7 separate regions of the Mus musculus genome follow, and all the other regions are reported to be linked to region 1. The links are microRNA targets in miRTarBase. Many come from high-throughput screens and were not tested one by one. Region 1 holds a microRNA gene; each other region holds the end of a gene's coding sequence. Distances are from middle to middle.

Region 1 (4,070 bases):
CAGTGGGGGAAGGGCACTTGCCATCGGGCCTAAGAAATCTAAGATGTATGTCCATGACCCACATGACTAGCTCCCTACAGTTGTTCTCAAATCACCACATGACACACACACTAAATAAGTAGATAGATAGATAGATAGATAGATAGATAGATAGATAGATAGATAGATAGATAAATGTATGTAAATGCTGGAAGTCTAGGAGTGGAGGGGTGCCTACCTTTAATCTCAGCATTCTAGAAGCAGAAACACACAGATCTCCGCAAGTTCAAGGCTAGCCTAGTTTACAAATTGAGTTCCAAGCTAACCAGAGCTACATACCAAGACGCTATTTTAGAAAAGCCAATAGTATTGCTAATTTAAAAAGAGAGCCATTGCCATATCCAGGGATCCATCCCATAATCAGCTTCCAAACGCTGACACCATTGCATACACTAGCAAGATTTTCCTGAAAGGACCCAGATATAGCTGTCTCTTGTGAGACTATGCTGGGGCCTAGCAAACACAGAAGTGGATGATCACAGTCAGCTATTGGATGGATCACAGGGTCCCCAATGGAGGAGCTAGAGAAAGTACCCAAGGAGCTAAAGGGATCTGCAACCCTATAGGTGGAACAACAATATGAACTAACCAGTACCCCGGAGCTCTTGTCTCTAGCTGCATATGTATCAAAAGATGGCCTAGTCAGCCATCACTGGAAAGAGAGGCCCTTTGGACTTGCAAACTTTATATGCCCCAGTACAGGGGAACGCCAGGGCCAAAAAGGGGGAGTGGGTGGGTAGGGGAGTGGGGGTGGGTGGGTATGGGGGACTTTTGGGATAGCATTGGAAATGTAAACGAGGAAAATACCTAATAAAAAAAAAGAGAGAAAAAAAAGAGAGCCCCAGGCTGGAGAGATGGCTCAGTGGTTAAGAGCACTGACTGCTCTTCCAGCGGTACTGAGTTCAAATCCCAGCAACCACATGGTGGCTCACAACCATCTGGAATGGGGTCTGATGCCACCTTCTGGTGTCTATGGAGACAGCTACAGTGTACTTGTCATATAATAAATAAATAAATAAATAAATAAATAGAATCTTTTAAAAAAGAAAAAAGAAACCCATTTTTTTTCAGACTTATATATCAGCTTTATTTTGCAAATTTCAGGTTTGTTTACATTCAGTGCAATCAAAATGTCAGGATTTCAAATATATTTAAAAATATGTAGTTTTAAAAAATTAGACTCCAAGCTGGGCGTGGTGGCGCACGCCTTTGATCCCAGCACTTGGGAGGCAGAGGCAGGCAGATTTCTGAGTTCGAGGCCACCCTGAGTGAGTTCCAGGACAGCCAGGGCTATACAGAGAAACTCTGTCTTGAAAAACCAAAAAAAAAAAAAAAAAATCCACTCCAAATGTGTTCAAAGCAATGACTAGCTAAAGGATTTTACAATCTTACTATAGCACTGATAGACGGCTGTCCACATAGGTCCTGCGGTTTACAGATGGATACCGTGCAATTTTCCTCCTATTACACCAACCAAAATTGCATCGTGTTCCACCTGATAACAGCAAAACAGTTCATTTCATAATTACAGTCTAACATAACTTACAATACTCAGAAACTAAAAGACGATTAAAAACCCTCTTTCTTCCTCAGGCCGGGACAAGTGCAATACTTTATATCTAACACAAGTAATGCCACCAATCCCCACCTGTGGATGAATGGGCATGGATGCTGAAGATGTGCATAAAGGTGTCCATTACGATGCAGAAAGGTACACATTCCCACAATCAGTTTTGCATGGATTTGCACAGCCATATATTCACATATACGCTGAACTGCAAATCTGCAAAACTAATCGTAAGTAGCAATGTCCTTGCGCTGTAGTTGCTTCAACAAGACCTTGGTTGATCCAGGAGTACTAGAAGTGCTCACACTGCAGTAGAGTGGTATAAAAACTACCTGCACTATGAGCACTTTGGCACTACTAGGATCCGAGCTTGTTCTTCTACACAACTGTATACTACAGTCTCCGCCATCTGTTTCTCGGCGAAACACTGAAAGAGCCTTTGAAACTTGTGCCGTTCAAATCATTTCTCAAGATATGCTTTTCAAATGCAAGGTAAGAAGTAGCCTGTGCGAGAAGGGGCATTTAGGGCAGTAGATTGTAAGCTGCTTCACTAACAGCACTAGATGCACCTTAACACAAGAGACACATTACAAGGAGCAGCTCAAAAACATCCACAATCTAACTATGCAGAAACCAGGGGACTCAGCGGCCTCTGATTAAATCACCATGGTAATGTAAGAAGTGCTGGCACTGCAGTAGAACTCAAAAAGCTACCTGCACTGTTAGCACTTTGACATGGCCAAGGCATACTCCAGGAGTGTAACCTTGAAGTCTTCCACGAACTCTTCTTTGCCAGATCTGCAGACTCACCTGGATAAACACACACACACACACACAGCAAGTAAGTGAACTGTGAGTTACTATTTCTAAAACAAGTTTGCCTTCCGTTAAGAGTGCAAATGGGGTTGTGTTACTTCAAACATTAATAAGCTCAATTATTTACACAGACTTAAACATGAATAACACTGGCAATCTCAGAATGTCTGACTCTTAAGAGTAAGAGGATTTTGGACTCCCTCTCCGTCTAAGGAAATTTGAGATTCGCATCCCAGAAAATTTGCAGAGCTGTAATATCCACCATGGTTTTCTAAGAGGCAAGAGCCCAGGAAAAGATGTAAGCAAAAAAATAAATAAATAACATTAGGGTGAGTACTGACGTCTTGAGCTCATCCAGAGCTTTGGGGAGCCACTCGGAAGGTCTCTATGTTTGATTACATGAAGCATCCCTGCCCCCAGCCCATTAAGAGAAAATGATAGAAATTTCAGAGCCGCTTTAAGAAACAGTTTTACACTCTTCACATACCGCACAGATGGCCTAGAGATGTCACATTTTCATCTATTTCAAAGGGCTCTACTTCTGTTTAAACATTTATGGACCCATTTTCTCCATTAAACCTAAAGAAGTCAGATTAGCTCTTTGGCTTCATGTCATTATCTTCCACAGGAAAAACCTCTCTCATTTCCAAGTGTGTATCTTACCCAGGAAAATGCTGCAGAGGACAGTCTGAGGGGTCACGAGCTCCCTCCCTCCCATGATGGAATGTTTGTGTTGATGGGGGGACACCAATAAACTTCAGGGACACAAAACTTGAAATGTGTTCAATGAGAAAGGATATTTTAAATGTTGGAACTTTTCGAAGCCACTTAGTGACTAAGATAGTTCTTAAAACATTTTAAATATAAATTAGCAAAACTTTTGAAGTAAATATGAAATCTGCTTCCTATAGTGCAAGTATTGGCTTATTATACTTTTCTTCTTGAACTGGGTTCCTACAACTAGAGATTTTTGCCTCCACTAAAAATATATTACAAAACCTGACTCAACTTCGCAAAACCATACCTCAGCCCTCCAGAGAAAGCTCCTTCTAGCTAATACCTTTCTTTAACACATCTGCTCTCCATCATATATACTAGAAAGTCGCTGTACAACTTCTAAAATTGCAAAGAGGACCCAGTCTTTTACCATTTCGGGATTTTCTCTGGTCTATTCCCGCATCTTCAGCAGCGGCTCCAGTAGAGATCTGTGAACCTCCTGGGAACGCAGGGTGTGCTCCAGCCAGTCATGCCACGCGCTTAGGTCTTCAAGACACCTTAGCGGCCACCAAAATTAAACAGAAAGAAACAAAGCATTATGGGAAACGGAGTTCTCCATTCAAAGCCCCCAAAACGCGCCAAGCTTAAGCCTCTCCCTCCATTCTCGGGTTGGTGGGAGGGAAACCAAGGTAGGTCGGGAGTCCTCCCGCCCCACACCCCACGTGCACCCTGGCATTTGACCACCCACAAGTTCTCCAGAAACCTTCAGAGCAACAAGGGAGAGTCCTTTTCTCACGAGTTGCCTGGCACCCCTCAACTACACTCAGGTACTTTGCTTTTCTCAAGTCTTGCCAGCTCCATCCCCTCCCACCTTAGTTAACTCTCTGGGATCACAGCTGCGCCCGCGGAGGTACGCATCTCCTGGTCCAGT
Region 2 (4,070 bases), not on the chromosome of region 1:
AAATTTCCACGATTTGAGTATCATTAAATATGAATTGAAACACTTGGCATCTCAAAGAATGGCAGAACTTGCAATTAACTCTGTGACATTAGTGATTTATCTCCCCTTCGTTACTTAAATACACATTTTACTACCATGGCCTATTTTCATGAGCTGTTCTTGTTTGAAAAAAAAAAAAAATCTAACTGTGAAGAGCCTCTATGTTGTACAATTTTGTTATAGTCTTGGAAAGTTGAACATCTAGCCAACCTAGAATATGCATCTATTTATGTTATAAAAAAGTAACTTTGAATCTAAGTTTAAAATGAGAGGAATTTAAACCAATTTTGCAAGGGCTCTGATTTTATAAGAATCTTATAAAAATCTTGCTTTGAGATCAAGGGTGGTGGGAGGGGAAGCAAGAAAAATAAAATTCTCAAGATTTGTTTGTATTTGAGTATTTAAGTTTGGGCAAATTAAATTGACTTGAAAAATGAGGACAAAACTATATTAATGTTCTGAAATTTAAAAAAATATAGTATCACTATAGTGAAAACATGAAGTATCTAATGACAGAACTTAGAAGTTTATTTCGTATTTAAATGTTACTTAATAATAGGGCCCTAAATATCTAGAGAAATGTTCAGTAGCAGACAGCAGGTAACTACATAATACTTGTTTTTGCATTTGGTAGCTAACATGTGATATGTCAAAGTAGTTCTCCAAAACCTGTCAATAATAATATAGGAGTTGCTAGCAAATTATCTTCCCTGAGGTAAGAGACCCTATTTAAGACAGTGTTAATATCCAATGAATATGATCCTTAAAATAATGGCAATAAAGATCTGTAAGACCTGTGGCTAGTCTCACAAGTACATTCCAGAATGCTATCTCAACTGCAAGCAGTAAAGCTTAATTGTAAAAACCAAACTAAAGACTATAGGAAGGTATAAAGCATTTCAAATACTAGCATTTGCTAAATTTCTCAGGTCTCTTTCCTAATTATTTCCAATAAACACCTGAAACATAGTTTAAGGGGTGGAAGATGAAATGGCTAGATAGGCTTGTTCTTTAGTTTCTGAGTGACCATTCCCTTGGAGCTAATTGTATACTACTCATAATACTTGGCAGTGTCTTGTTTCCTTCAACTTGAGCAATTGTTCATTACCAGCCTTCTGGACATACACTACCTTTAACTGCCTGGACTTCGGGTCATCAACTCAAACTTGGTATGGTTACAAAATGGATTACTGAAGAAAAATATTTACAGTATTACTTCAGTATTCAGTGAACACTGCAAATAGAACTGAATAGCTTTAAGTTACAGTTATGTTACTTCTAGGGCTAAAAAACCATTTTTACTTGAGATCACAAGCTATTGTGCTGCCCTGACATAGCACAGTGGTATCACAATGGTAAAAATGCATCTACACTCACATAAAATACACAAATAATGTTTAAAACAAACTCTCTCAAAATTTACCCCAAACCACTAATAATCTCATTCAACTGATTTGAAATATGTTCAAGAATTCTGATGAATTCTCAAACCTGTTTTTTGTTTGGTTGTTTGTCTGTATTTTCTATCAAGGGAGAACCCAAACTTTTCTTTATACCCAATTAAGTTTCTAACCCTAAATACCACTACGGTCACTAGAGACAATGAAGTATTGTCAGAGATTAAGTCCATCTTCTAACATTCACATGTGCATAATTTACACGAAATTCAAGTATTTAATAGAGAGATAAAATTAGTCTCTAGCCAGGCATGGTATAGTATGCCTTCTAGTCCCAACACTTGGGAGACGGAGGCAGGCAGATCTCTTTTTAAGGCCAGCCTGGTCTATAGAGTGGGCTCCAGGCCAGCCAAGGCTACATAGTAGTAAGACCATGTCTGGAAAAAACAAAACTTGTTTCTGATACTCCTACTTTGAGATCCTGCCAGTTATTAACTTAAAATACCAAGCCACAGAAGAGCATCTGTTAAAGCAGGGTGATTATATAATTTATTTGACACAGTACATTTTCTGCTTATTGAGCAGTTTTTGTGTACTTAAACCAGGAAAAAAAATTGAGAAGAGTATCTCAGTGGCTGACTAAGCCAAAATAATAGTGGTTAGTGGAGGGGTTGGGGGGGCATTAAAGCACAGCTAATTGTTAAGAATTTGGCTATCTTACTTCATGCAAAATTAGTATATGAAAGTTATATATTTTCCTGGAACTTTAATATAAATGAATGAGATAAAATATTTCAAAGTATGATGTGATAAACACTAACCCAGGTGTGTGTGGTGGTGTACATTATCTTAAACTCAGCTCCACTTTAAAAACATCTAGATTCTCCCTTCCTTCCACATTCAACAAAGTGGACTTTCAGTATGTAGACTCACTTAAAGATACTATCACAGAAAAAAACAAAAAACCTCCCTTATCTAGAAAAAGTTCAAGTACAACATTCTTTTCGAATGAACAGGAAGAGATTTTTTTAAACACCTGATAATGTATTTTCTGACATACAATTTTGTAGAATTGCAAACAGTTCTGCATCTGTTACATGTGCAAACAGAGATAGCCGGGCTTTGAATGCTCTAAGAGATTATATTAACATACATTTGTCATTCGTTCATTCAAATTCAACTTAATTTCAGTAAACAAAGGAAGATGGACTGAAAACACATTTACAAATACAAATCTACAGAACAGAATACAAGAGCAGTACCAATCTCAGGAATATGCATTGTTTTTACTACATAAGCATGAAAGCAATATAAGCAAATGCTAATGGTCTACTGGAGTAAACTATGCATCCAAACTCAAGTGAAGCTGACAAAAAGAAAATCTTAAGGACACTAAGAAAAAAGGAAAACATTTTTGGTTCATAGGGGCTTAGAGACATTTAGCATATACAGGCTTACACACCACTGTGTCAAAACTATAGAACCATTCATACAGATAAACTCTTTGTGACTCTGACATACTCTGAAAATTAGAAATTAACTACTGCTACCATTATTTTTAAATATTCTAAAACAAAATGCCATTCTCTTTTATGTAAGATTTTAAAAATAATAGGTGGAACTTGACAAGGCCAAGATTTAAAAAATACTGGCAACATATTATCAACAAGAGCACACAACTGGCCATATCTCAGACCAACTAACTGAATCACACTGATTTTATCATACTAGGGTAGATATTTCTTCCCAAGTTTGCTCAAATCAGGAAAATGTTGTATCACTACTCTCTTCTGTCAAGATATTTTTGCCAACAATAGCTGTCTCTATAATATTATAAGTAATCTAATAAAGTGTTTTATGTATTTTAAGATACATTTAGTTCAGGTAAACTTGAAATCAACATTCTCATGAAATGTAGGACGGCTACCTTGAAAACAATGTGTACAAACTGTCATTTCCTCTTCAATTCTGGCCTGTGCAGAAACCAAACATTTAACAAGAGAATTTTCATGTCTGGAAATTAAGACTTTCATGGAATTAAAAATGACAAAGAACTTCCAATGAACCACATATCTGGAAGAAACCCTTTCAAAAGATCTAAACTAATTTACAAGAATTCAGAGCCAGCCTGGGCAGCAGTATATTAAAAGCTATTGCCAATCACACACTTGCTATCATGCACTGAATAACAAGATATAATCTTTGAATTATATACGTACAAGATTTTTAATGACTACTCAAGTTATGTGGCCCAGCCAACAAATATTACATATTCACAATAAACATTCTGCCTTTATTAGCCTCTAAATTAAATCACGAGTGATCCATCGGCTCAGTTGTGTTAGTCGTCTCAGCATCTTGACTATCCATCTCTTCAGGTTCCTCCATGGAATTTTCTTTTTGTGCTTTTGACCTTGTGGCAAATGCTGCTCCCAGTACATCTGCTACATGACTATCAGTTGTTTCAGTATTCAAATTCTCAGTGCCACCAGTTAAAGAAAACGGTTCAGGCAAGCCAGTCTGAAGATTCACAGGCCTCACAGAACTCACAACTTCGACTTTTCTTTGGGAAAGATCAGATGGTGCTTGCTCTGCACTTTGATCCCGCAAGTGCTTGTCCATTGAAGCCTGAAT
Region 3 (4,070 bases), 88 Mb from region 1:
CTTCTCTCGATGCAACAGTAACTTCGTGGTTCGGCACAACAACAAGGAAATGCTGGTGGATGTGCCCCCACAGTTGAAGCGTCTAGGTGTCCTTCTGGATTATGACAACAACATGCTGTCTTTCTATGACCCAGCTAACTCTCTCCATCTTCATACTTTTGATGTTACCTTCATTCTTCCAGTTTGTCCAACATTCACAATCTGGAACAAATCCCTAATGATTCTTTCTGGCTTGCCTGCCCCTGATTTTATTGATTATCCTGAGCGGCAGGAATGCAACTGCAGGCCTCAAGAATCCCCTTATGTGTCAGGGATGAAAGCTTGCCATTAAGTGTCAAGAGAGCATGTAAGTCACTGGCTCTCCGGTTCAGCACTTCCCCTCTTAAGCCTCCATTAGTGCTCCATATATGAGATGCAAACTAAAGTCCATTGGAAGCACTCGAAATAACTAGATATCGTAGATTTAAATTTTTGTGCATTAAAAATCATGTTTGAATTCATGTATTGAGTTACTCAGAACAAATTAATCTGAATAGTCTGGGTTTGTGCCACCAGGGAAGAATTCTAGAGAGTATCTCTGTCGTCATTGGAGAATTTAAAATTCCCAGTGATTTGGGAGTATAAATGATACTGTTAGCAATTAGCCCTTCTAGTAATGGCTAGTTTGACCAGGTAGAATTTGCACAGTGTCAAATTATCATTTATTATATGTCACTTTTTAATAAACTAATAAAAGAGGGGTTTTGAGAACAACATATACGTGCATATATAATATATAAAATGACTGAATTCATTTTATGAGCAAAATGACAGATAATTTTTATCTATTATGTATACACAATAAACCTTAATTTGCCCATTTAAATAAGAAATATATGGAAAAGGAAAATAAATGACACTGTCCATTCCTAACTCTTAGGTAAAACCATCATGGCTAGCCAGCATTTCTCTCTCTTTCCCTTACAGCCGTTCTTTCCTCCCTCTTGCCTCATGTACAAACACATGCAATCAAGACACAGGAAGTGAAAAGAGCTCTTGGTTAGATGAGGAGAGATCTGGGGACAAGATTGCACAAGAGATGCTAATGCTACATAGAAATTGGATTCTGGTAGAGAAGTGTCTCGTATAGCCTAATTTCATTGATACTGCTTAATGGAGGAGATTCATCTGAATTGTTAAAAACTATCATAGACTATTTCAAAGAAATATAGTTTTGTTATTCTCAAATACAAAGTTACTAGACTTAGGCTTAAGAATAGAGTTGTATAATGGAGTTTCTTCAGAACTCACCTTACTTGAACAGTAAGAATGGAGTGTTACAGGTTCAACAACTATATGTGTACAAATGTACTTATATTTTCAGACAAAGCACTGAAATGCTGTTTTCCTCGATAGGATCATACTCATTATTTTTGGAATTTTGTTTATACTATTCATTCATTTGCATCCCCTCCACGACAAACAAAAACATAAATTCCATCCTCGTTTTTATCACAGAAGTTGAGCTTCACAGCCTGTGATTTCACCATTTCTGTTGCGGAGATTAATTGGAAATGCCAGAGAAATAGAACCTTCTTCCAGGAGCCAAATCTACTTCTTGGCACTTGTAAAATGATTACTACTGTTTAATTGTTAAATGATAGTAGTAGCCATTCCCTGGATTGTATGTAGCCTTGATACAGTGTCAAACGTTAGCCCCTCGTTCTACTAGCATGGTGGATTCTTATTTATTCATTTGTTCAATGATGCCACATTACTGCTGCAAGAATGCACATATTACTAGAATGCAGACCTTGGTGTCAAATGTCTCACTCTTATGCACAAGAGACAACATATCTCTGTAAATCTCACCTAATGATCCTTACAGATTGTTTGCTTATCTACCACAAAAAAAGCAAGACCTGTGCCAATACAAAAGAAAGACTTAGATTTACATGCCAGGTAGCAAAGTCAGGTTCTCTGCCTTCAAAGATTATATGTACCGTATAGCTCATTAGGAAATGAGCAACTTCAGTAAAATTCAACAGTGCTGGTAGTTGGCTTGTGGTATGATAAAACTCCCAGCCTTGTAATTGAAATAGCCCTAGCTTCTCTGCCATTTACCTAACAGTGTGACCTCAGGAACGCACTTCTTCAAACCTGTTTCCTCTTCTGTAAAATGATCCCCAGTTTATGATGTAAAGCTGTAAAAAGGTTAGTGTGTATCAGTTGCCGAGCACAGCGCCTGGCATTCACTATGTGTGCCACCAACGTTCATCTCTTCCCCAACACCATTCATTTGTTTTTGTGTTCTTTACGTTTTAGTCCTGGGAACAAAGCTTTAGTTCCCCGTTCTACTATGGACTGCAGCTTAGACTACCTTTCCTCATCCCATCTTCTCAGCTAACTAGTGACCTCTGGAATTGGCATTTGTGGCTCCCTGTGGCACTCCCCTGGCACACTGAGACCCTCCCCACCCAGCAATAATATGGAAGTGTTTTCAGAATGCCATCATGTAAAGAGCCATTTTAGAAGTATTGTTAGTGATTTGTTCCTTAAAACAATTGATTCTTGGCCCCTGCCCCTGATATACTTAATTAAACTATATGAACATAAGGAAACTTACATTTGAGACAAGCTTCTCAGGTTGTTCTGAATCACACAAAGTTTAATGTAGAATAATAATCTTCCCTAGAATGAGACTACCTTGGGGTAAGCACTGTGGCTTTTGTTGTTGTATTTTTAAGACCCAGAACAGTGTCTGGAACAAAGTAGTTGGCTGGCTAATGTTTGTTGAAAGAATGTATGAACGAAGAAATGAATAATTCTAATTGCTGTTTGACTGTGATGTCCATTTGTGATATTTGTTATTCTTGGGGGCAAGTTGGTTGCTTTAGTCTGTATTGCTATTATTTTGTAAATGTACCAGGGCTTATACATACAAATGAACATTGTTCCAGATTGGCAGTTATCATGAAGAATTGTCTTTGGAGCACGTGGTATCATTCTACCAGTTACATTTCATACTTTCATGAACTTCAATGAACGTTGTTCTTGAAGGTAGATTTAAGTTTTTATTACAGGCAGAGTTAAGCCTACTGAATAAACTGAAAAATTAAATGAGGTTTGTGGGAAGCAATAAAGCTTGACTCTGAAATGCTAGCTTCTGAGGCACGTAATGCCTTCCAAGAAACAAAATGGTGGCAAATCACTCAGAGGGCTATGGTGAGTTCCAGATATTTACTTCAGTAAACTTAAAAGACTTTCATAGAACACTGGCAAGGGACCAGAGGGTAACTCTAGCTAAAGCCAGTTGCACCAATGGAACATGACCATTTAACATCATCAAGAAAGATGATTCTATAAACATGGTTGCTGTCGCTTTACTCCATCTAACTATTCAGAACTTTTTCTCCTAGAAAATTATTTTCTGTCTGCAATTTATGCTTGTTTCCACTTTTTATATTGTCTTATTAAAGAAAGCACAAACTGAAGCTAAGCTTGTTTTGAGACTACAAAAGAAATTTTAATGCCACATTGATGTTCTTGCTACTTATAAGAGTAACTGCATCTGGCTGTGTTTTTATGATGTAATTCCATTGTGTGTCTTTGGATGCAGTGAAGTTCATATTGTAACAAAATCACTTATATATACTTTTCAGCTCAGACATTCTAGGTGAATTCTCAGTTTACATATTTGTATATGACTACCTGGATGGATCAGTTCATGGATGGACTTTTGAACAAGCTTAGATGCTGGAACCCCTTCTATCAAGGAATGGAAAATGTGAGGCAGGTAGACATGAACCACTCCCACACTTACTTGTAGCTCCTGAAGCCAATTCCAGCCTTAGAGCCATTGGGCTGTATTTGGCTGTGTATTACAAGTTGGCCAGATTTATTGCCATCAGGTCAGGCAAAACTGCCTTTTATGGTGTGGTCTGCCAGCTTCAGAAATATGCTGTGTTATTGTTATTGGCTAGAATATTTATTAGACTATTGTTGAACTATTTTTTATCAAATGCTTTACCCCAGGCTTGTTTGTACTGGGAGCTCTGGACCAATAGTGTCTCTCCTAGTAACAGAAATAT
Region 4 (4,070 bases), 91 Mb from region 1:
TCCCCTTCTGTTGTTTATTTACTTAAATTATTAATATATCAATATCAAAGAAAGAAAATTTCGGAAAGAAAAAAAATCACAGAACCCCACCACCCTATCACAACTGATTTCAGTTTTCTGTGTTCCCAGTCTTTATCCATATTCACACTTCTTTTTACATAGATGTAATCCCTGTGTGTATTATTTAAAAGTGACTTCATAGACTCTCTCTGAGAACTGGCAGCCTCATTAGAAAGAAACGACCCATTGAGGAAATGGATATAATTATTTACACGATCTTTGAGGTGAGAGATATCCATTATAGACAAACATCTTAAACTATCAAAACAGTTATACAGAAAACAGGAAGCAATTTATATTTCTTTTTTTTTTCTTTTAGCAATGGAATGTGCTTCATAGGGGAGGGATAGATGTGAGGAATAGGTGGTTCAACTAAACATTGGAGGTGCAATTCATATGCCTGAAAGAAATCTGAAGAACACAATTAAAGAATAAATACTTGAGTTAAATCTTTTCATGTGACTTGGCCATCCAGTAGCCAAAATGGAGCATGGACTCACAAATATTTACAATAACACACAGACAAGATCAGCAAGAACGAAGTCATTATCCAACATGTTGATTGATTTAGGGGGATTACGTCATCCCCAAAACCACATGGGATTTTGACAACAAACTGGATCCTTGCTACAATATTAATGTTCTATTCTTTCTTAAATAAATAAACTTTACTGTGCTTCTCACCCCTCCCTGACTTTGCCACTGCCCTATTCTTACCTCGGGACATTTTTGAATTGACATTCAAAAATGTGCCCACAAATGTCTCAGGGCACACTAGTAATGTTAAAGATCTGAACAGCCTCACCTGGATTAAGATGAGCTCAAAATGAAATCAAGGAAAGGGAATAAACTACTAACCATCTGGAGGCTAAGTTGTTCAAGTATAGCAAGTATGGACCCTTCAGCATCATTTTGGCATGAGAAATAGTTTCTCTCTAATACTTATTAGAAATATATGTAACTCTTCAACACAAGTAAAAGACTTTAGAAGCTGTTCTCATTTGAAAATGTACACAGGTATAATTTTGTACAAGTAATGCCTACTGGAACAGACTATTAAATCTTGATACAAAGTGATGGTAAATAAGTACCTGGCCCTTCACTGTTAATAGGCAGAGTGGAGGGCATCAAGAACAGCCATTTCTCTGCCAACAGTGACCTGAAGGACCACAGCTCCAGGGTCTTCTAAATAAGGATAACAACAACAGGAACAACAAGAACAAGAACAACAGCAACAATAATAAAGGCCTTTACAACATGCAAAAGGTGTTAACTGATGTCTTGGACTTCCCAACCAGGGTTTGGGTTCTCTCTATTAGCTGAGCATAACCATCAATCAATTGGATTCTATTTACATCCCAGGTATTTTGTGGAATTCCCTGGCACAACAAGTGGGAAAATCCTCAATTTAAAATAAAGTAGAATAAAAAATTAAGGTTCCTCCTCTCTCACTAAAGAGGTGTGACATTTAAATTTTAGGCCCAGATATCTCTTTGCAAAATAAACTTGAAATTAATATAATCATTTGATTTTCTTTTCACATTTGTCTTTTATTCCATGGTGGATATTTTCAGGGAATGAGTAAACCCCTCCCAAATCTTCTAATATAGGAAAATAGGAAATCCACCAGTGGTACCATCTCTCAACATAAACATATGTACTAGATGATCAGCAGAAACTCTAGAGAAAGTGCTTTCACTTCAAGGAAAGGATGGATGCTTAAATGGACAGATGGACCTCACAGGGCAGAGGGGCATCTGCTCCTCATCTTGCTCCCCCCACTGAATGTAGGTAATGTCTATTCAGTTTCTCTAACTCTACAAATTAAGAAATGCCATATAACATAGATTGTTGGCTTGTCAAAGGCTTAGAGAAACAACTTTCTAGAATTCATACAACTGACTATACACTCAAAAGAGACATATCCTTTTCTATGCAGACACCTTCCAGATGTTTTTCTACTCACAGAAGATTAATAAATTTTTAATAACTATAAATAGTGAAATAATAGTCAAATTTTGGAATTTTCCTCAAGCCACAAAAGGAATTCCATTGGGCTATTTCTTAGGAAATATGAATACAGATCAAAATTAAATTTTTTGGTGAACTTCCAACACCTTTATGAACATGCTTTTAAAGGACAAAAGCCCAAGAAACTAAATAAGAACATACCAAGATCAAGTGCCGAAAAAGAGATTGGAGATACATAGAAAAATCATTTTCAAGTATTTAGAGCCATGTGTTAACTGGGATGTAACTTTCATTGACTTTCCATTTCTTAAAGAGTTGAATACTTTACTATATCTCTGATCTCTAGCTCTTTAAAAAATTCTTATGTGTTACAAATTGCCCAAAAATGAATATTTTTATCATGAAAAGCATTGGCTAATGGATCTATTTCCTCAGAATGTGCCTATTGTACAATGCTTATGTTACAGGCGCACAAGAGAGGAATAAATTCACTATTATCTTTGCTTATTTACTGCCCAATGAGGAGTGATGCATTTTCCTTTTGGCTCTCAGACAAAGTCCCATCTTTGTGTAAGTAAGGTTTCTCTCATCAGGATATCCTAGGTTTAGGATCACCTGGACTCACCCAGCAGCACTGCCACATTTTCAGTGTGTCCTTTTTCTGTTATCACAGAGGCCAACAAGCTGCTTTACATGACAATTCAACTACTACATTAGCATCCATGCGAAATGTGAAAGGATCTCACAATTCGAGCTTTGTTATGACACAACGTTTAAAAGACCATCCTGAACACTCATAGTCCTCTCTGGTTTTGGAAAATGTCTTAAAGGAAACCTTTTCCAATACAAATGCAGAAAATGGGTAGACAAATCAAGCCACCACTACAGAAGAAGAAGAAAAGCTTGCGACTCTATTAGGGCATGGACGTCCACGGCTTCACACGGCACTTGTTCTATTTTTTTTTTTTTCATTTTTGTTGGTTTTTGTTTTGTTTTTTCTTTTTTTCTTTTTTGGTTTTCTTTTTTAAAAAAACATTTTGACATCTTTTATTTTTCTGAACATCTAATGACAATGCAAGTGAAAAAACATCACGTTGGGTAAGGGATTTTGAAAGAGGTTCGAATGAAAGAGGGACTACTCTCTAACTTAAAAACAAACACAGCACTATGAAGAGGGAGTGTGCATCTTTGAGAAATCTTTTTTTCTTCAAAGTAAATGCACAAAATGAGGGGATTCACTACTGGCTCTTTCGCTTCACGGTGGAAGTGGCCACTTAATGGCTACTTCGACATTGCTGCCCTGTGTGGGCTGCAGTTCAGGCTTACAAATAAATTACATAATCTGAGGGAGTAGGAAAAAGGTTTATAAGAAGTTTCTATTCACTTAAAAGTTAAAGAGCCCCCACTCCATTTGACTGTCTCTTCTTCTGTGGATCCTGCAGCAGAGTTTTATTTCAGTCTTACTCATCCTGGAGACCGTGAGGGGTAAGGCTTGCAGTTCTAACGGCTACTGTTCTTAATTGCTTCCTTTGCGGCGATAATCAGAGGAGTGAGACTAGACAGAGGCTTGGCTAATTTTAAAAACGGATGCTGTAAAAGGGAGAGAAAAAAAGAATTACTAGAATTCTCCCTTCCCATGAATAGAGTGGTTGTCAACCTTGCTAATGTGTAACCCTTTAATACAGTTCCTCATGTTGTGGTGACCCCCCAGCCATACAATTATTTTGTTTCTACTCCATAATTCTAATTTTGCTGGTTATGAGTTGTAATATCTGTAAATCTGTAAATATCTGATATGCAGGATATCTAATATGTGATCCCCAAAGAGGTCATGACCTACAGGTTAAGAACTACTGCATTAGTGTAATTTTACATTTTCAAATATGCTCCTTTGCATTTAATTGTGTTTCGAGTACTCACTAATTAAAGAATCCCTGCCAGCTTTTGTCCTTCAGATTTTCTTTTCCTTTTTTGGTCTTTAACTGTCATGAAATCCTATGGAAATTTACTTGGCATAGCTAGAAACTCTTTAGTATAGA
Region 5 (4,070 bases), not on the chromosome of region 1:
TATGTGATAGGAGAAAAGGACTGACTCCAGGGACGCACACACACACAACTGGACACTGGTAGTGGTGGTTGTTTAAAAATAAGTAAATGGTTCTTAGAGTGGAGAGGGTGAGAGACTCCACTTACTGAGTGGAGTCTTGCATTTACTACTTGGGCATTTTGTTGGGTCTTTTAAGGATTCACCTTGTAATGGTGCTGCCTCGGATGAGGTTAGCTTTCTGGATTTTGCTGGATTATGTTATTAATGTTATAGGGTAATGTGTTACTTGCCCTTCACATTGTCTTATTAGCAGAAACCACTTCTTCAAGTAAAGAGGCATGTCTGTGTGTGTTCTGTAAGAATTATTTATGTTTCCTGTCTTTCCATCGTAAGTAGGAAAGAAATCTCACCTTAGGAAAACCACAGAGAAGAAGCTGCCCACCAAGCAGACTATCGCGAAGCTGCAGCAGTCTGACATTTGGAAGATGGAGAATGAGTTCTATGAGTTTGCTCTGGAGCAGTTCCAGTTCATCCGAGCTCACGCTGTCCGCGAGAAAGACGGAGACCTCTACATCCTGGCCCAGAACTTTTTCTACGAAAAGATTTACCCTAAGTCGAACTGAGCGCAGGTGTGGCCAGAGCACTCCTGCCCCGGAACTTGACTGTGTCACCACCCTTCTCAGCCCCCTGCTGATGCGTGTGCGAGCTGTGAGCCACGCTGAGCTGGGGACAGACATGAATGTCAAGGAGTGAGATGCTGGCGGGCTGGCGGAGTCCTGTGGAGTTTTTAACTTTCTGGCATTTTTACTTTTTTGTTGTTTTATTTTCGTTTTCATGATAGTTATAATCTTCTCCTGGTGCAGGGACATGGGGACTTACATTGCCTAAAATACACACATGGACGTTTAGTCAGATGGCTGAATACCATTTCAGAAGAGGTTTGCATAAGCATTTCTTTGCCTCTCCTTGAATGAAGAGGAGTCTGTTTGCCACTTACCCTTCTGGAGTTTGTGCCGCCACCTCTGCTGGATAGTGCTAAAATATGTTTGGCAGTATCTGATTTATTTGTATGAATCATGTCTCACAAAGTTTATTAGAATGTTTGATCGTGTTTTCCCAGAACATTTCTGCTACAGTTGGGTTTGCCCATATTTATGTAGGCTTTATTTTATTTTATTTGATGATCATTAGTGTTAAAGAAATCAACTTAAACCATGAATAATACTGTAAGAAGGTAAAAAGTTAAAGCAGTATTCCTGACTCCTGTCACCCCAGTATCCAATATTGGAATGATATTTCTAAGAATGTGGACATTATCTGAGGCTTTCTTAAGGATTTCCACATATCAATATCAAAAAATTGAGTTTAATACTTGTTCCTTCATGGCGTATCTGTACCCCTGAACACTGGCATATTGGTGACCGCACATGGCGACTCCATCAGTGAGCTGTGATGTGGGTAGGATTTGCCTACTCTGTACTTTTACCTGTAGACTATTTTTACTACGGTGCTTTATAATGTGTTTTAAAGCATTGCATTTACAAAAGGAAAGTGCTGTAAATATTGCATATTTTATGTATTTGGACCAAAAAGTTACAAGTAAGTAGACAACAGTGGTGTTGCACCCGTTTTATTATGTCGAGTAAAGTCGTCAGACCTCCTATCCTATTCTGGTATTTCTCGTTTAACGTTACTGTTAGGATGTCACTAAAATGAGCTAACGTAGCCTTTCAAGTTTGATAGAGAACAGTGCTCACCCCTGAGGCAGTAGTGGTCATAGAAAAGGTCGTAGAGTCTGAGGGTTCCATCTCTGGTTCCAGCTCTGCTGTCACCTTCCTGCTGTGTGACGTTAGGAAGTCACCTGACCTCCCTGCCTCAGCTTCCTCATCTTGATATCAGGACACTAAGACCTTCTCTCCCTGCCTCACAGGGATGTTGTGAGGACTAAGGAAGATGGCATGGCGAAGAGCACTTTAAAACTGTGGCGTGGTGTTCAAATGTGAGGTGTTGTCACAGAAGTATCTCTAGCTGATAGTTTCATAGTCTCTATTTTAGCAACAAAAAGGGAAAATCCACTTTTAAGCTTTATGAGAAAAAAAACCCCTTCCTCTTGATATAAATTTGTGTTTGATAAATATCTTCTCAGTGTTTTATCTTCTGTGCTTAAGCAACTATTGAAGTGTGAACGGCTTATGCACTCGAGAGACTCAGACCGTCACTAGCTGAGGAGCAGGAAAGCCTTCTATAAACTTGAAGGATGTTCTTGTTTGTATCTAACTTTGTCATCCGAAAATGGTGGCTATTTTACACTTGTGCTTGTTAAAGTGTCCTTTGTAGAATTTAATTTCTCTATTAATTCTTCACCTACTCCCTCTTTACAGCCAGGATTCAGATTCCTCTCAGACACACTTTTCTAAAGGAGTAATTATTTGTATCTTTAAATGTTTCTAAACAGGACCTCATCAAACAAAGCATTTTCAACAGAAGACTTTAAAGTATTTATTGTGTAATAGGAGGAGTGAAGGACACTGTATATCAGAAAGCACTTAGGAAGATTAAAGGAACGACTGAGTCACAGGCTCCGCCGAGATGAAAGTATTAGGGGAACATAGCAACGTTTCCCTTCCCCCTCCGTCCTTTCCAGTGCAAGTTTCTAGGTCCTGCTAAAAGCAAGTTGTTTTCTTGTCCAGGCAGGCATCTGGCTGTTGAGTAAATCTGAGGTTATTCTTGAGAGTTCGCACTAAACTCTTAGGTAGTTAAGGCAGCACTTAGAACACTAACTGGGACTTTCCCTAAACTGTCCTCATAAAAGACCAGGTAATGAGTCAGGTCTCTGTACAGCTCTTACTGTTGGAAAGTCGCTGTCACAGACAGGAGAGGCAAAGGGCCGTGGTTAGAGCTTAGCAAAACCTTTATTTACAGAACAGAAGGCATACTAGATATGAACCATGAGCCGCAAGCCCTCGCTCACCCTGTGAGGGATTGTCATGGAGAAGCCCTGTCTGTGTCCGGACCACGTTCCCCAAAGAGTTCCTCTACCTCCCATGTCTCCCAGATCGTGACCCCAAGGACTGCTTTCTGACTCAGTCCCTCCCCAGCTTCCTTCTGTCTTACCTTGCTGTCAGGTGACTCGTTTTCCTAGCTCACCTGTACAGATTCGGGACATTTCTTTTATCGCTTTTTGGAGCGAATGGATTCCAAGTGTCCTTTCTGGAGACTAAGAAAAGGGTGGGCTTGCTTCTCTAAGAGTCCTGGGAGCCTGAGTCCTTAGAACATATAACTGTGTAATCAAATGAATAGAACCACTGAGACAATGTGTATTTTTTACATGTGGCAAATGCTTTTCTTTTTTTGGCCTTTGTGCTTTTTCAGTAATTTGACCTTAGAAAAAAATGGTTTTTATATGATAGTAAAGCAAAATAACCACTTTGAATTTTAACGATAATGTCAATGTGTGTGTGTGTCTATGTTTATTTCCTACAGAAGAAGAGGTAGCTTTGTGTGTTCAGCTTGTACCAACCGTCTTCTTATTGCTGAGAAATGGCCACTATTGATAAACCTTTCTGTTTTAAAATGTAGTGGGGAGGTTATGTTTTGATCTCCTCTGGCTTTAATTTCTAGTGTCACTTGAATATATCTGGTAGCAAACCTTGAAGCACCGCATAGGAGCTGCTTCTGTGTCCCCTGATAGTCACACAGTCCCTAACATCCGCTGCTTCTGGCCTCCTGAGCATTGGATTTAAATATCCAAAACCCTCAAAACTCCAAGTTGCCAGCTTTTTAAACACTTGCTTTTCCCTTCTGTGCTGAAAATCCAGATAGCACCTATAATTTGGACTCTATTGATCTTCCTCATTATGTGTCCTGTTGGAAACCCCTAAAATTGTCTGCTCCATCAGGGAACTTACCAGAGTATTTTGATGTTGTATTTGCATAGATGGATATGAAATAGTTTATAGATGACAATTCTCTTTTTTGAATAAAATGAAATTTTTGAAAAATCTAAAAGTACTAGAGAACTTATCTAAAGCCCAGTTCCCTAATGCATAGCTAGTGTTTTAATTTATGTTAAAATTCTGCTCAGAGACCAT
Region 6 (4,070 bases), not on the chromosome of region 1:
AGTCAATGCAATCTTTCTCAGATGATATATTCTGCTGGTGATTTCCAGGGAAGAAAAGACTTCCTAAACAACGGGCCCACTCATTCTTTACTGTAAGGTACCCTGTCCTTTCCTGTATGGCTTCCCTCATAGCAAGTAGGTTTATTTTCAGGAGCAAGTCATTGTCTGCATAGGGAAGACATAGACATCTTCCTAAGATTATCTTCATTTTGTTGTTTGCTTGTTTGTTTGTTTTGTTTCTCCAGCCCAGGAAACAAGGATGAACGGCTGACTACTCAAGACAGTTCCTAGACATGTGGGAATTTTCCCTCACCAAAGAGCAATTAAAAACAAAAAACATATAGTATTTGCACTTTGTACTTTAAATGTAAATTCACTTTGTAGAAATGAGATATTTAAACGGACTGTTGTGATCTGTGAAAACGGAAGGCTGGCTTCGGGAAATTAATCACATACAATGTATGTGTCCTTGTTTGACCTTCAAGATCTGTGCTGGTGGGGTGGGTTTTAAATGCATTTCAACTTCACTTCCTCGTCCCTCTGTGGAGGGCCTGGTTTATTCCCTTGCCCTTTCCTCTGCCTGCAGTCTCCGTTGGCTTGCTCTCCGTGCTCTTGATGCCAGCCAGAGCCTACCGTATCCTTAGAAGCTTGCAGTGGTTGCCTGTTTCATAAAGTTTTGCTCTCTAGAGATGTCACTCACACCATGGGTCACACAGGCACTAGCTCAGGCATAGCCTTAACTTCCAGTAGCCCCTGCTTGAGACTATGCTGTTAGGCTCCAGTTTTAGCTTCTGCTTGAGCCAACCCTACTGTTAAATCCCCGGGGAGCTGAATGGACAAGCAGCCAGAGAGTCCTCTTTCAGAGAGCACATCTAACTCTGGCCTGCCGACTCCATCTCATTGGCCCAGGAAGGATCCAGTCTACCTGCCTCACTTCTGAGTGCCTGGGCCATCCTGCTAGGGTCCACTGGAAAGGAAAAATGCCTTCTACAGAGATCATGGACCACATCCTGAGGAAGGCACAGCTAGACTACATCGTCCCAAGAGTGCTGAACAACAGGCAGCTGAGAATGTCAATTTCATTTTGTGGAGGCATCGGGTTTGAGGGAATTCACCCAAGGCCACTATGGGATGAAGGTTATGAACTGGATGACCATACTGTGAGAGACTGAACTAGATTGGGTGTATGGCTGGCTGTCACTTTCTGACCTAGGTCAGTCTGTACTCTCTGTTCTCAAGGAACAGTGGCAGATGGGAGGAGAGCTGGGGCAATTCTTTCAGATTGTGGTTTATATGGGAAATTGTTCATGGTCCCCAGCCTCTCAATGTATGTCTGTAGATGCATTGTGAACGCATGCTGCAGAAGGCCTTTGCTCATTTGAACTGTGTAGAGGCAAGAAGTGACCGGCTCATGTCAATGCTGTCTACAAACGAGTATGATCCTAACTGTTTTGGATAATCTTTTATATTTCTGAACTCTGAATTTAATCATTTTATTAGATTAAAATATGCGATTAAATTGTGTGAGTCTTCTTTTCAGCATTTCATAAAAGATTACTGTTTAAAAATTAGTTTTTAGATTATTCTAGATGTGTGAGAGTCTTGCCTGCCTGTATGTCTGTGCACCTCGTTCATGTTTGGTGTCCGTGGAGGTCAGAAGAGAGCATCAAATCTTCTGAAATAGTAGTTACGGACAGTTGTGAGCTGCTAGATGGGTACTGAGATTGAATGTGGTTCCTCTGCAAGAACAACAAATGCTCTTTACACTGAGTTCTCTCTCTAGTTCTTCATGATTGCTCACTGTAAAATGTGTCCACTAGTGGAAGCCAAAGTTGTGGGTGCTAGCCCAGCAGATTTGGGTCTGATTTTGCCTGTTGAAGGAGTCTGTGTGAAATGGGATATGTTCCTCAACTTTTCTGAACCTTGGGGTTTCTTTTCCAGGACTGGAGTGCTGGTTCATTCCACGACAGGTGGCATGTATGAGTTAATAGTTGTGAATGCTTCAATCTGCCCTGTGTGATACACTAGAAGTTTCTATGCCCTCTCTGTGTGACAGACCTCCAGTATGGATTAATGTCACCCGCCCCATGCTTCTCCTGCTGCAGACACTCCAGACATGACAGAAGCAGTAAATGGCACCTTGTTTTATCAAAGCTACTGCTATTCCACGAGGCAATTAACCAGTACCCCGAAGGTGACATTTTCCTTCTCCCATTCCAACCTCCAGAGCTCTGCAACACCCTGATTTGCTCCGTGACATCTCACGAAAACTCTTGAAGTCCCTTCCCTCCCCGGTCAATCTCATCCAGTATCTCTACTTCATCTCTGGTCCTCCAAACTCAGCACAGGAAAACCCTCAGGCTGAGCAATGATGACACAGGAAGAGGGAATGAGAAGGCCAGAAGGGCACAGAGTGAAGAAAGGGTTTAGGCCAGGTTCTAAAGAAGGCACGAGAGAGGACAGAATGTTCAGGAGGCTGACAGATCATGGGTGAGGCAGGAGCTACACATGGTTCTGATTGCAGGGCATTAATACTGAAAATCTAAACCAGCAGTTGGCTCCCCTCTCTGCCCACAATAGCTACATTTAGGGTTGGACGCCTCCTCTAGAATGCCCCATCACCGTCTTCCTTTCCTGCATCCTTGCCATCCTATGAGGATGCCTTCGGAAGCACACCGAGCGTCTCATACATCCTTTGCACAGATGTTACATATGAACTGTTTCCACTATCAATGTGAAATGTCTCAGCTCTTGCTGAAACTGGTGTGGACTGACTAATGTGATCCTAGGCTTCCAAGGGCAAAACCAAATTGTGCAAGCAACGCTACTCCAGAAAGACAGAAAAAAAAAACCCATAAAGGGTAAAACCAGAGGAACAGATGATGATGGTGAGGGTAGTCAGGATGCTGTTATTGATAATAGTGATGATGGTGACTGTGGTGGTGTTAATGGTGGAGGCAGTAATGGTGATGATGACATAATGATGACTATGCTGATGATGGTTATGATACTGATGATTGTGATAATAATGTGATAATGGCAATGGTGGTGATGATGATGATGATACAGTCATGATTGGTGGTGGTGGCAGTCATGGTGGTAATGGGGATATGATGTGATGACTGTGATGATGGTTATGATTATCACCACAACCACCGCCACCATCACTACAGCCATCACCATTACCATGACCGTTACCACCACCACCATCGTCATCATGACCACCATCATCCCCATTATAATCATAGTCACCCTCCTCCTGTCATCCAAGTAGGATGACAATGAAGCAGGGAAGCCTTTTCAAGCAGGAGGAAAGTGACTGTGATAATAACAGTGATGGTGGTGGTCATGATGCTGGTGGTGGTACTGTTGCTGCTGCAGCTACATGATAATGGTGTTGCAGGGGAAAGATGATTTTAATCTTAATACCATAGCCTACCCCACAGGCCAAAATTTGGAATACATTTTGAGTAATTAGATATCAAGACATTTTTAGTATTTCTTCCCTTTCGAAAGATGTGCTGGCCACCTTTTTCCTATTTTTCCGCTGTGCTGCGAACAGCTCCCATGGAACACTTAGCAGCTCAAGTATGTCTGCTTTGTTTCTGTTCTTGCCTCTGTGTGTGGTCTGAGATAGCCAAATAGTCAAGACCTTGTTGGACCTGGTTCTTGGCCCCATGCTGGACACAGGACTACTCTGGGCTCTCACCCTTTGGATGAGTGTGCCTTGGGGCATTTTCTCTAATGGTTGTGCAGACACAGTGAGCTCAGCTGTGTAAGTGCCTGCTTGTCTGTCTGTGCTGCCAATTCTGTCATGCGAGTCTGTCTGTCATGAGAGTCAGTGAGTGCCACAGGCCAGGAAGCCATGACAGGGTGGAATGCAGGACAGAGCTACACTCCTGGGCCCCAGTCTGCGCATCATGTATGTGGATATTCTGATAACAAAACACTAGTTTCCTGAGGTAGTAGGTAGAAAGGGAATGGATGCTGAGCACTGTGGGGAGAATGTAGCTGTGAGCTCCACACTGACCTAGCGTGGCTCATGGCCACATAAACGCCCCCAAAGGTGT
Region 7 (4,070 bases), not on the chromosome of region 1:
GATGAAGTATGGCCAAATGGTCAAAGTTATGGTTTATTACTTCATGGATCTAGCTTTAATATTTACTTCAAAAATTGACTTTCGAGCATCACTCAGTGGAACACTGATGTAACTAAGCAGTTAGGGGGTAAAAGGGTTCAAGGAGGTCAAGAGTTCAAGGTCATTCTCAGCTCCTTATTAAACCCAAGGCCAGCCTGGCTGCAGGACAGAGATCTTATCTCAAAAAAAAAAAAAAAAAAAAAAAAACCAAAAACCTTCCAGTTTCCTTGATGAATCTCATTAATATTTATTGAATATCAATTTGATGACAGGAACTACAAGTACTGCAATTCTACATGATTAAGACAACACCTCTTCAGAGTCCTTAAACTCTAGCAGCTGGACGAAAAGAATTTGGGTAAGGTCAAACAGACAGACACAAACAGGTCCTGCAAACACTGCTGGATGAGATTGACAGATACCTGGGAAGTCTTTGTGTCTGGGAGAACATTTTTCAGAGAGGATTAACTCAGGGGAGGCTTGCCTTGAATGTGAGCAGCACCACCCAAGTGATCAGAGGCTCAGAGGAAATAAAAATGGGAGAGGAAGCCGGCGGCCAGTACATAAAAGATTCAGTTTTCCTTGGTGAGTCCATCTACAGCTGCCGTTATCACCCAGGAACTTGAGACTCCAGCTTCATCAGCCATCCAGTATTGCCTAATATCAGGGACTCTCCAGGGAGCTTGCAGGCCATCAGAATCACACTGGGGCAGCAGCATCCATACCCCTGTCCCAGAGATTTCAACTTTTCAAACCAAGCAGTTACTGGCTTCCCTTGATCTCCTCTCTGCAGATGATCATCTCAAGGTTGTCCAGCCTCTGATCATGTGAAGTAATCTAATAAATCCCCTCTTACAATTATATATGGCTTCTATTGGTTCTATGCTCTAGAGAATCTTAACACAGATGTTTAACAGCCTTTCAAGTCATTCAAATTATCCTCAATAAGATGTAAAACGCTTAAAATGAGACTTATGAGGTTATAACTGAAGATTTTAATCAGAAAAAAATGACTTAATAAAGCCTTAGGTTCTTTTTTTTAAACCTCTTTTGTTAGAAGATAAGTATTGGATTGTATGTGAAAATGACAAGATTTAATGAGAACAAATAGGAGTGACTAATAACCTAATAAGAGTGAATACGGGCCTCGGAAATAGCCATAGCATGTATGATGGGGATGAGAAAAGTGAATTGGTTCAAGAGACAGCTAGGAGTCATATTAAAATGCAGGAATTGACTAAGTATGGATAAATGGAAAAGGAATTTAGGGGCTGGTTCAGAGAGTCAAGTGCTGGGAAATAGTGTACAATAGATTGCTGACCACCTAGAAGTGGGATTGGAGACATTTGTACCTACCTGGCAGGTTCTGCTTGGGGCACAGTGTGTATGTGTTGGTGGGGCCAATACAGACATGTTTCATCAATTGATGAAGATACAGGCTTGATGTTCAGGAGAAAGATCTGGCCAGAAAATGAAGACTAATGCGTTCTCACAGAGCACTCATAGGTCCCTGTGCCCTGTGAAAAGGGTGCTCACAACATAGAGAGGGACTCAGTTTCAGCCAAAGGACAGAGGGAGAGCTACATAGAAACTCTACACAATTCCTCAAATTCTTTTTATTTTGACATTAAAACCAGCACATAAAAGATGCTTTAATACTGAGTTGACATATGAACTCAATCACAAATATGTTAATTGAATCACTAATTGGATTCCAATAATTTACCATCACAGCCGGAGTCACAGTAACAGACAGGTTTTGTACAGGATAGGAAATCTGCAAGGGGCATAAAGACTTCACAACAACCTTCTACTAAGATCTTAAGCAAGTATCTTACACATAGAAAGTAAAAAGCTTCTTCAGATGACTGTGCAGAGTCCAACAGGAAAGACTGTCTTTTATAGTTCAACGATTCACTTCAGACAGCAGTGTATAAGGTGGACTTCCCGTTCCACCTTAGATTCATTTTTTTCTTCTGGTGTTTTATTCCTTTTCAGTACTCTAGAAGAACAATTCACTTTGAGACCAATCTTTTATTTCCACACTGAAAGGAATTTAATAACAGCCAGAGTCTGAGATTTAAATATATATACAAAATTAATATCATAACTAAATATTAGACTACATCAAATATTTCTAAATTGTGAGGAATATACTCACAGATTCTGCCATATTTACAAAAAATATGCCTACACTGAAACGTCAGCATCCAGAGAAGTGCAACTATTTTAACATCTCATTTTTCGTACTTTTCTGTGTGAACAAAATAGAGTTTTAATTATCTTTGGCTGGGTACCTTTGAAATAAAAGCTATATTCATAAAACTATTAAATAAAATTTTCTAATGCTTCCCTATTTATAGATATGCTTTTGTTTTGTATATGTATTTATGTTACCAAAAATATAGTCATTTAAAAAAGAGAACATTTATGTGAAATTTGTGGATAAAAACAAAATTTTCAAAGTGGAATAAACTCAGTTTTGGAGATTTCTTACCAAATGGGTTCACTTTAGTGAAATTATATTTTTACTTAACTTAAATTGGTCTATTGTGGATGAACTCCAAAGAAGATAGTTCTACAGTGTCTGTAAACATGTTAGAGCTGTGGTGGAGGGGGTCAATTTTTTACAACTAAACTCAAATTGTTACAAAATTATGTTTTAGTCTGATTTAACTTTTAGTGTGAACTTTGTTTGCTCTCATGCAGGAATGGTAACAAAAGTTGTGTGGTTCCAAAAGGCTTTAGCAGTTAGCAAGAAACAGAAGAGCTGAGTTGCTCGCTTGTCATCCAAACAGTATCTACCTAAAGCAGGAATGGCTATAACAGAAATAAAGCAATTGTTTTCATTCCTTTTCAGTATGATAATTTCAGATTTTGATTCTGAACTAAAAAACAAACTTTCAACAGTAGTGCATTTGATCTGAACAACAACTAATTGCTCACTGATTATATAAGAATCTCTCCCATCATTGCCAAAACATTACTCGTATAGCAAATGTGTTTATTCTCTTGACGTTATCTTGAAGTCACCGCCTTAGGTAGCAAGCCATGTTTACCTATAGCATTCTCATTTGGGTTTCATCTTAGGAAAGACAATAAAACCAAAACACCCTAACAGAGAGCCTGTAGCTCCCTAGGGAAATCTGAGTTGTTTAGCAGCTTTTCATCAAGTGATGAGGGAGCCCATGGAGTCCACAGTGTGCCTGATGCAGATCCTACTGTGCTCTCAGAGATAACACTTACTTCTCCCTTTTAACCATGCTGGTGCCAACTCCTTGTTCTGTTTTCCTTCCCTTCTCTACTCATAATTCAACCTACAATCCAAGCATCGGTAATCAGAACGTTGTGCCATGGCAATCTGTTTATTTTTACCTCCTTCTGCCAGCCAGTTTTCCAGAAATAAAACTGCTGGGGCTTCGGTTCTGTTGCTTTTTGAGTCAATACAATGGGAGGTCTGCATGCACTGGCCAGAAAACCTTCCCTAACCAGATTGGCAGCGCTGGTTACAATTCACCCATGTGCTTTCACACCTGTGTCCTTACACATTGGTAGCCTCCGAAAAAGAGTCAGTGGGGCCATTGTTCTTTTTGACTTCCAGGTTCTTTTTAGCCTTGAAGGTCATAGACACCTCCGAGTGAATGGCATCCAACCTCTGCTCACAGCGGAAGGCCGAGAGGAAAGCTTTTCTGTAGTTGCTATTCATCCAACCATAGAGAAGGGGGTTGGCAAAGGTGGAGCACATGGCGATAATGTGGAACACGGTGAAGATGAGTTTGTACTCCTTCAGGTCCAGGACGTGGCTGTCGATGTCCACAGCGAGTTGGAAGGCGTGGAGGGGTAGCCAGCTGACTGCAAACACCACTACCACGCACACCAGCATTTTGGTCATTTTGTGCCTTCGCTGATGGTAATGGTCACTTGCAGCTCCAGGACTGACGTGGTTCCTCAGCTTACTCCAGATACGGGTGTAGGAGAAAGATATGATGCCCAGAGGCAAAACGTACAGGATGAGCAGGGTGGAAAGGCTG

The links. The annotated mature microRNA mmu-miR-19b-3p reads UGUGCAAAUCCAUGCAAAACUGA and lies in region 1 at 1,767-1,789, opposite strand. An mRNA with a match to its seed (bases 2 to 7 or 8) in the 3' UTR can be bound and repressed. Matches are read on the target gene's strand: a 7mer-m8 pairs with bases 2 to 8, a 7mer-A1 pairs with bases 2 to 7 and ends in A, and an 8mer does both.
Region 2: the mRNA of Vcpip1 is a reported target of mmu-miR-19b-3p. Seed matches in the 3' UTR shown: 8mer at 2,535-2,542.
Region 3: the mRNA of Mid2 is a reported target of mmu-miR-19b-3p. Seed matches in the 3' UTR shown: 8mer at 679-686 and 7mer-A1 at 1,068-1,074.
Region 4: miRTarBase lists Pak3 as a target of mmu-miR-19b-3p. The part of its 3' UTR that is shown has no 7-base or 8-base seed match.
Region 5: miRTarBase lists Hs2st1 as a target of mmu-miR-19b-3p. The part of its 3' UTR that is shown has no 7-base or 8-base seed match.
Region 6: the mRNA of Smoc2 is a reported target of mmu-miR-19b-3p. Seed matches in the 3' UTR shown: 7mer-m8 at 347-353.
Region 7: the mRNA of Npy2r is a reported target of mmu-miR-19b-3p. The part of its 3' UTR that is shown has no 7-base or 8-base seed match.

What each region holds. Positions count from the first base shown.
Region 1 is chrX:52,740,225-52,744,294 of GRCm38, forward strand. Mir19b-2 (microRNA 19b-2) reads right to left here and starts at 1,842; the gene lies at 1,759-1,842. Mir363 (microRNA 363) reads right to left here and starts at 1,543; the gene lies at 1,469-1,543. Mir92-2 (microRNA 92-2) reads right to left here and starts at 1,704; the gene lies at 1,614-1,704. It overlaps Mir20b (microRNA 20b), which reads right to left and starts at 1,968; the gene lies at 1,889-1,968. It also overlaps Mir18b, Mir106a and Kis2.
Region 2 is chr1:9,720,733-9,724,802 of GRCm38, forward strand. Vcpip1 (valosin containing protein (p97)/p47 complex interacting protein 1) reads right to left here. Exons shown (of 3, transcript NM_173443.3): 3 at 1-4,070. The coding sequence ends at 3,750. Among named protein-coding and RNA genes, the nearest start is that of Mybl1, 23 kb to the left of the region's middle.
Region 3 is chrX:140,763,551-140,767,620 of GRCm38, forward strand. It overlaps Mid2 (midline 2), which reads left to right. Exons shown (of 10, transcript NM_001358366.1): 10 at 1-4,070. The coding sequence ends at 331. Among named protein-coding and RNA genes, the nearest start is that of Eif2c5, 11 kb to the right of the region's middle.
Region 4 is chrX:143,790,786-143,794,855 of GRCm38, reverse strand. It overlaps Pak3 (p21 (RAC1) activated kinase 3), which reads right to left. Exons shown (of 16, transcript NM_001195048.1): 16 at 1-3,621. The coding sequence ends at 3,532. Among named protein-coding and RNA genes, the nearest start is that of Capn6, 35 kb to the left of the region's middle.
Region 5 is chr3:144,431,020-144,435,089 of GRCm38, reverse strand. Hs2st1 (heparan sulfate 2-O-sulfotransferase 1) reads left to right here. Exons shown (of 7, transcript NM_011828.4): 7 at 376-4,070. The coding sequence ends at 602. Among named protein-coding and RNA genes, the nearest start is that of Gm34434, 51 kb to the right of the region's middle.
Region 6 is chr17:14,403,250-14,407,319 of GRCm38, forward strand. Smoc2 (SPARC related modular calcium binding 2) reads left to right here. Exons shown (of 13, transcript NM_022315.2): 13 at 246-1,541. The coding sequence ends at 263. Among named protein-coding and RNA genes, the nearest start is that of 4930474M22Rik, 6.3 kb to the left of the region's middle.
Region 7 is chr3:82,536,741-82,540,810 of GRCm38, forward strand. It overlaps Npy2r (neuropeptide Y receptor Y2), which reads right to left. Exons shown (of 2, transcript NM_008731.3): 2 at 1,643-4,070. The coding sequence ends at 3,581. Among named protein-coding and RNA genes, the nearest start is that of Npy2r, 9.3 kb to the right of the region's middle.